Arabidopsis thaliana: one gene and its partner. The protein of the gene in region 1 purifies or fractionates together with the protein of each later gene. This does not show direct contact. Each region holds a gene or a part of one and is shown in the gene's direction. Other genes may lie near its edges.

What was found.
Region 2: the proteins of HCHIB (region 1) and OSM34 fractionate together in Arabidopsis thaliana (co-fractionation; one large-scale study listed by BioGRID). This does not show direct contact.

What each region holds. Positions count from the first base shown.
Region 1 is NC_003074.8:3,961,330-3,965,647, reverse strand, and holds HCHIB (basic chitinase), read left to right. Parts: upstream 1-1,663; coding exon 1,664-2,123; intron 2,124-2,489; exon of another isoform or gene 2,490-2,524; intron 2,525-2,599; coding exon 2,600-3,147; 3' UTR 3,148-3,512; downstream 3,513-4,318. Other genes in the region: CYSB (cystatin B), read left to right, coding at 3,772-3,972, 4,218-4,318.
Region 2 is NC_003075.7:7,024,018-7,027,996, reverse strand, and holds OSM34 (osmotin 34), read left to right. Parts: upstream 1-1,772; 5' UTR 1,773-1,883; coding exon 1,884-2,278; intron 2,279-2,530; coding exon 2,531-2,870; 3' UTR 2,871-3,145; downstream 3,146-3,979.

The sequences.
Region 1 (4,318 bases):
TTAAAAAATAATAAATTAAAAATTTAATCCGTATTAAAACGGTGGATTAATTAGATTTTACTTTTTTATTAATGTTGATTCAAAAACCCATCCCTCCAAATCCGTCTTGCCAAAAAGCCATTTATTTTATTAATATTAATTTATTTATGATATGACTCTGAATTATAATCTAAACATTTTAGCTAATAACATAGGAGTGCACCATATTTATTTAATAGGAGAATGTACTATATGACCTGAATGCACTTTTACTCAAATCCACCAAAAAAGTCTTGCAAAAATACTATAGACCCGAATGTACCATATTTTTTTATGCTAATTTTTCTGTAATTAAGATTTTAATTGATTTCGTATATAAAATATTAAATTGTTTTACGAACTTATTTGTTTATAATTTGGTAACAGATAGATATTTGAATATTCGGTATATTTTGCTTCAGTTTAGGAAATCTTTGATGACCCGTCTTTAAATCCAATAAGCCCTATAATTAAGAGATGAATATTGTCGTTAAATGATTTTGGTAATCTTAATGATGTCATTAAAAGATTCTATTTTTGATTAAAATTTTCTAATGGTATTGTCATGTAATTAATTACAAAAATTAAGATTACATTTAAAATGTATTTTGTAGGATTTGCCAATATATTCACATTACAATATTATTTTTTTCCATGGTCGATTATTTCTACCCGAAAGAGACGGCAACGCAGCCCACAGTGAGATTGGAGATTAGAGATTCAGTCAACGATGATTAACGTTACTTTTCATAGTTAGTACATAAGAATAGCACGCAGGTTTCGTCGAGGTTTTGGATTTTATATAGTTTGTAAACATGACACGTACTTTGGATAAAACATTATGAAATAGGGAAAGTCATCATGAGTAGTTGGAATAATGAATATATTAAATATTGGTATGATTTGGTCTTGAGTCATTATATCATTACCTGGCTAATGCTATACGTTACCTTATAATGAATTCTAAATGTCTCAATTGCTTTTTGAAAAAGTTGATCACGAACCCGCCGCCTCATATTCATAATTAAAGTTAAATTTTGTTTTTGTCAACATTGATCATAGTTAAATATTTAGACACGTCTATTTTTATTTTCTCCACGTTATACATTTTCTTGACTATTCATGCAACTCTTGTGATCTTGTCTTAGATATAGTCAAGTATTGTGTATACATCATAGGGAATATCCGAATATGTGTGTGTTTGATTAATTAGTGCACACTAGCTCAGATCATCGATTAGTCCGCAACTCGAGTAAACGTGTTTTCAGACCACCCAAAATTTTACGACCTTTGTGTCCCACTATCTACGTCGATAGTAACTTTAGAACAAAAAACTCAAAAAGAGTGTAATTTGTTATGCTTTTGGTCTTCTAAAATTTGTATTCTTCTACCAACATTTAGCACAGTTTCATACATAGAAAGTTCTCATTACTTGGAATTAACATGATAATCCCCCAAAAAAACAAATCAATATCTAACCTAGCAACAATGACGGAAGGAAAATAAATATAATCAAAAACAAACCTACCAAATACTGTTTGTTCCCCATAGCCACACTCCATAGACATAACAAACAATAAACTATGGAAAAAGATAGAATTTGATGTGATAAAACATTCATTAATTGGATCTATATATATCTTTCATGCCTCCACAAAAAGAAAACCATAGAACATTGAACAAAATGAAGACTAATCTTTTTCTCTTTCTCATCTTTTCACTTCTCCTATCATTATCCTCGGCCGAGCAATGTGGTCGCCAAGCTGGAGGAGCACTCTGCCCCAACGGTCTATGCTGCAGCGAGTTCGGCTGGTGCGGTAACACCGAACCATACTGTAAGCAGCCTGGCTGCCAAAGCCAGTGCACTCCCGGTGGTACTCCTCCTGGACCCACCGGCGATCTTTCGGGCATCATTTCAAGTTCTCAGTTCGATGATATGCTTAAGCATAGGAATGATGCCGCTTGTCCTGCTAGAGGTTTCTACACTTACAACGCCTTTATCACCGCTGCAAAGTCCTTCCCCGGTTTTGGCACCACCGGAGACACCGCCACGAGGAAGAAGGAGGTCGCCGCCTTCTTCGGCCAGACTTCCCATGAAACTACAGGTACCCAAAACTCATTAACAATTTGACGGAGATTGTTTCAAAACACAATTGCTAAATTTTGGTGTTTATTATTAAAACATCAGAATTTGAAGTTCTTTTTTTCTTCTGTAAAGAGTTTTGGATCCAAGTGCTCATATATACAAAGAACTACTATACTATATATATATATATATATATATATATATGTTTTATTGAAAAAATTATAGCTTCTCATATTTAGAAACGAAAGAAAAAAATCAAACAAAAACGCCAAACGCAAAGAAAAATGTTTTGGTCTTAGATGTTTGCGTTTACAATTAAAAAACTATTTTAAAAATATGAAATTCTTGATTAATCTAAACGCAAATAACCAATCAAGGAACTTACGAATATTCCAGTTTCCAAATTATACACTTTTGAATAATGTCAAGTTTGTGAGTTGTGACTATATATATAGCTATATACTAATTAATTAAGTGGACGGTTACGTCGTGCAGGTGGATGGGCTACAGCACCAGACGGACCATATTCATGGGGCTACTGTTTCAAGCAAGAACAGAATCCTGCTTCAGACTACTGTGAACCGAGCGCCACGTGGCCATGCGCATCTGGCAAACGCTACTACGGAAGAGGACCAATGCAACTGTCGTGGAACTACAATTACGGTCTATGCGGTAGAGCAATAGGAGTTGACTTACTCAACAACCCTGACCTTGTTGCCAACGACGCAGTGATCGCTTTCAAAGCCGCGATTTGGTTCTGGATGACTGCTCAGCCTCCCAAACCGTCTTGCCATGCCGTGATAGCCGGCCAGTGGCAGCCTTCAGACGCCGACCGTGCCGCCGGGAGATTACCGGGTTATGGAGTGATTACGAACATCATTAACGGTGGATTGGAGTGTGGACGTGGCCAAGACGGGAGAGTCGCCGATCGTATAGGGTTTTATCAGAGGTATTGTAACATATTTGGTGTTAATCCTGGTGGTAATCTTGATTGTTACAACCAAAGATCCTTCGTTAACGGCCTCCTCGAAGCTGCTATTTAGTAACGAGAGTATTATTATTATAATATAATACGCAGCTTTGTATTATCAAAACAATAATATCAGACTAATAAAACTCTTTCCAATGATGTTTCACTGTTTATGTTGCGATTTTATTTCCCATGGGCCTTTTTTAATTGGGCTCTCTAGCAGATGAGAGAAAGACGAAGAAAGGTGCATAGATGTTTTAAACTTCGATTACAAGTAAAGGTGTTTGACAATTTCTGTGTGACTCTGCCGACACGTTTCGTATAACGTGCCGCTATCCTCAGCAACGTTTTCATGTGTAATCCAGATTGGTATGAATTTCTATTTAAAATGTTGGTAGCTTAACCGATTGAGGCCAAATCAAACCAATCTATAACTCGAATCGGTACTCTTTTCTTACAAATGATTCGATTCAATTGGCATCCAATCAAATGTAAACCTTTTTTGTTTTAAATCGTAAGAATATTTTCATAAATCAGAGCCTAAACTTAAAACTGTACCAACAAAACCAACATCAAACCAAATGGACACCTTAATCCGGTACACGGCGAATTAACTGTAGAGGATAAAATCAACAATTCGACGAGTAAAACGAAAAATATCTAAAAATACAGGGCACCGAACCAAATAAAGGTGAGAATGATGAGAAGCCGTTTCTTACTCTTCATTGTTTTCTTCTCTCTATCCCTCTTCATTTCCTCTCTGATCGCCAGTGATTTAGGCTTCTGCAACGAAGAGATGGCTTTAGTCGGAGGTGTTGGCGATGTCCCTGCTAATCAGAACAGTGGTGAGGTTGAGAGCCTCGCTCGTTTCGCTGTCGATGAACACAACAAGAAAGAGGTTCCAAATCTCTCATCATCTTCGATTTTTTCACATCTCTCGTCTCGATATGTGTGTTTTATGCTATTATAGTCTTGATCCAGAACACGATTAGACTAATTTTGTCCGGAGTTTCTCTATTGATCTCAATTTCAGTTACCAGCAGATCTTAGAGAGTGTATATTATTCGGTGATGAAATGCGTTCATGTTGTGGGATTGATTGATTGATTGATTTTTTGGTTTGTTCTGTCTTTGGTCGTCGTAGAATGCACTTCTTGAGTTTGCGAGAGTTGTGAAGGCGAAAGAACAAGTTGTAGCCGGAACACTGCATCACCTGACTCTGGAGATTCTCGAGGCAGGACAGAA
Region 2 (3,979 bases), on another chromosome or scaffold:
TTATTTTTAAGAAAATCAATGAATAAATTTGTTAAGTATGTTGTTTTGTTCACATTAATCTCTCTGTATTAGGATAAATTATTATTTACACACCGTTGTCCAGTGGCGGAGCTAACTCATAACCAAGGGGGTCAGTTGACCCCATAACATTTTAAAATTCTTATTTACATGCTTATTTAATTGGTATATAATGGTATATTTTGGCTTGATTCATCTCAGCTGACCCCTATGACTCATGTTAAACTAATATTTGACCACCATAATAAACTTTTCTGGCTCCGCCACTGCCGTTGTTTATGGACAAAATTAAAACGTGAAGTTGAAATTATGAATTCGTAACATTCATTTTTTTAACATCTACGTATATTACTTTCAAACAAAAGATACAAACATAATACAAACCATCAAAACACAAAATAATAACAAAGAATGATAAAATAGTAAAAGTTATGCTTACGTGTGAAAAATTTTACTCGCTAAAGAATTAAGAAATCCATTACTTTCCTTCGTAATTGGGCAATGGGCTGCACCATGTTTTCAGTTGTTGGACATCTGAACCAATCTTGTGATATAACTTCGAAGTCCCAAGGTCCAAGTATTTACAACTTAAATTAGTAGATCTCTATACACTCAAGTCTCAAGATGTTCTCTACACTATAATTAAGGACTTGCATTAGAATTTTGTTCGTTCGAGTTGTAATCAAGCTGTTGATCGGCTTGCTAAGAGGGTTTTTTCCTCTTCTCTAATTGTTTTAGAAATATAAATACTTCTAGATTGGTTGACGATATAAAATATATCTTTGATAAGAAAATAAAAATAGTAAATGTCCGATAGAAAAAATTTGAAAAAGTAAGTTAGTAAAATGTCCACATCAATATACATGATAGTCATCGAAACTTAAAAACTACAAAAAATTTGGACTATATAATAAGAAATGCCCGGTAATCTCAAATGATATTTATCCTTTTTTTTCAACAACAAACTTATATTTATACTATTTAACGAAAATAATAAAATTGACATCGATATTTCATCATTTATCTCTCTAATATAGTACAATTACTTAAATTAGTGTGCACCACGCATGATCGTTATTTCGTGCACGAATGAAATACTTGATATAGTTGTGGTTATATATGTTTTATTAAATTATAAGGAAGCAACATAGTCAGACTGTAAGACTTGTGAAATTACATGTGGATACAAAATTGATTAAAGAAAGACAAAATCTTGAGGAAATTCTCCATCAGCTCGATCGTGAATTGAAGATCTTCAAACTTGTTCTTTCAATGTTTTGCTTCTCTTATCCAATTGAAACTCCAAAATTAAGTGTGATACCATTTACCAAATCTGACACTTTAGTTCTTTAGTTCGTAATCTCAAATCTACTTCAGCTCGTAATCCCACTCAATCTTGATTTGTAATCTCAATCAAAATTAACAAAAGTTTTGTTATCTTTTTTTTTTTTGATCAAAATTAGTTTTCTTATCATGCATTTAAAATATGAATTTTTTAAGCTATTTCAGTATTTCTCTTAGTTACAACTTAATAAGGTTGTATCTAAAATTAATATTGATTTGTTTTATAGTATTTAACTATAGTAAAACAGCAAAGTCACTTGTAGTGTCTCCTAATTCTACACCCCAATCTAGAAATAAGACTTATGCGCAAGTTAGCGCAAGCCATCAAACATAGTCAAGCCGCCCCAACCTATTAAAATGATTAAAGCATATTAACATTCATCATCTAGATAACTTCAAAAATGCAAATACTAATTAAAAAATAAAATAATCAAACTAATACGTAACCATTTACCTCTATATAAAATCCATAGTAATATTATCAATAGATCACACATACATAAAAGTAGTAGAACTAAAAAATGGCAAACCTCTTGGTCTCTACTTTCATATTTTCCGCACTTTTGCTCATCTCCACCGCAACAGCCGCCACATTCGAAATCCTAAACCAATGTAGTTACACCGTGTGGGCTGCCGCAAGCCCTGGAGGTGGCCGACGTCTAGATGCTGGCCAATCATGGAGGCTAGATGTCGCGGCGGGCACTAAAATGGCACGGATTTGGGGTAGGACCAATTGTAACTTTGACTCCTCAGGTCGTGGCCGATGCCAAACTGGTGACTGCAGTGGTGGACTCCAATGTACTGGCTGGGGACAGCCACCAAACACGTTGGCTGAGTACGCTTTGAACCAATTCAACAACTTAGACTTCTACGATATCTCACTTGTCGATGGATTTAACATACCTATGGAGTTTAGGTAAGAATATCACCATTATCGTTTCACAAGTTCTACTTAGTTTTTGCTTTATTCATAAATTCGAACTCCTAAACGTAAAAATCTCTTGACATTTAACATAATATACAAGCGTTAAAATCATTTTTTCTACTATGCAAGAAAAAAAAAGATAATAAAAAAAGAGAACAATTATATTTCATACTTCTAAACGTTTTAGGTTCTTACACGACTCGATAATGATTTGTCTTTCTTATTTTGGCGTGCTATCTCCAGCCCAACTAGTTCGAACTGCCATCGGATACTATGTACCGCAGACATAAACGGACAATGTCCAAACGTGTTGAGAGCCCCAGGTGGATGCAACAACCCGTGTACTGTATTTCAGACGAACCAATACTGTTGTACGAACGGTCAGGGATCATGTAGCGATACTGAGTACTCAAGATTCTTTAAGCAGAGATGCCCTGACGCTTACAGCTATCCACAAGATGACCCGACTAGCACTTTCACTTGCACCAACACTAACTACAGGGTCGTGTTTTGTCCAAGGTCTAGGCTCGGTGCTACTGGATCCCACCAGCTCCCGATCAAGATGGTCACCGAGGAGAATTAATAGACTCGTATCTACTGTATGTGTGTGTGTGTGAGGGTGTACGTAGATATGCGTACGTGTGACGTGATCATATATACGTTACCATAAACACTTAATGGATTATAATAAGGCATGCAATAATAATTACGTTAGTCGACCCACGTATAAGTTGGACTTATTTTTCTCTTTCCGATCAATTAATGTAAAAATAACAATTTCGCTTCGATACAATGAAGATCATTCTTGTATTTTTTACTATATGCTTGAAATAAATATGCTATATATTATTTAGAAAATTAAAATATTCTTTCTCCCAAATAACATTTTCACATTGAAAAATATAATTTTTTTCATTTTTGTGATTGATAATTTTCCGAAAATCAAGTTTAGAAAAAAGAAAATTATGATTTTGGATTACGTATACTACAAAGAAAACTTTATGTTCCAGTATAGTAGTATTTGGCAAATATCTTAAAGAAAACATCTTAATTTTTGTTTGCAAGATTTTACATTGGAATCTACTGAGCTCATTTATTGTTCTTGTGTTGGTTTGAGTTTGCGAATATACAGAAGAAACACAAAATCTAGTAGATCACTAACTTTTTCAAGTCAAAATTTCTATAATTAATTATTGATAAAGTTGGATAAACTGACTAATAAACAATATTATATCCTTAGACAATTCAATGTCTAATTGCGTGTGTAAAATCATGTAGACCGATTCGTGGCTGCTTTCGGGAGAATTACGTTTAGTGAAACTAAATATTTTAGCATCAGGAATTTGACTTTTAGGTGTAGTTGAGTTTAACATTAATATTGATCGGTCTCCAATGAATCAATTAAAGATTGGACGTAAAAGTATATACCACAGAATATACAATTCCTTTAGTAGACCTAAAATTTTACATATGAAAAGTTCCAATGTAAGATTTTGTTTACTTAAATCAGCAATTTTGTTTTCTTTTATCATCAGGTCCACTGTATATTTTCTCAAAACCTGTCCAGAGTAAATTAATGTATGCCTAAAGCAAGAAAGCTTTTTGAGTCCATTTATAAACACAACTGACTAAAAAATCATTAATATTGCTAGGATTGAATCCAAACTCTGCATCTTAAATGCAAGGGCAAGG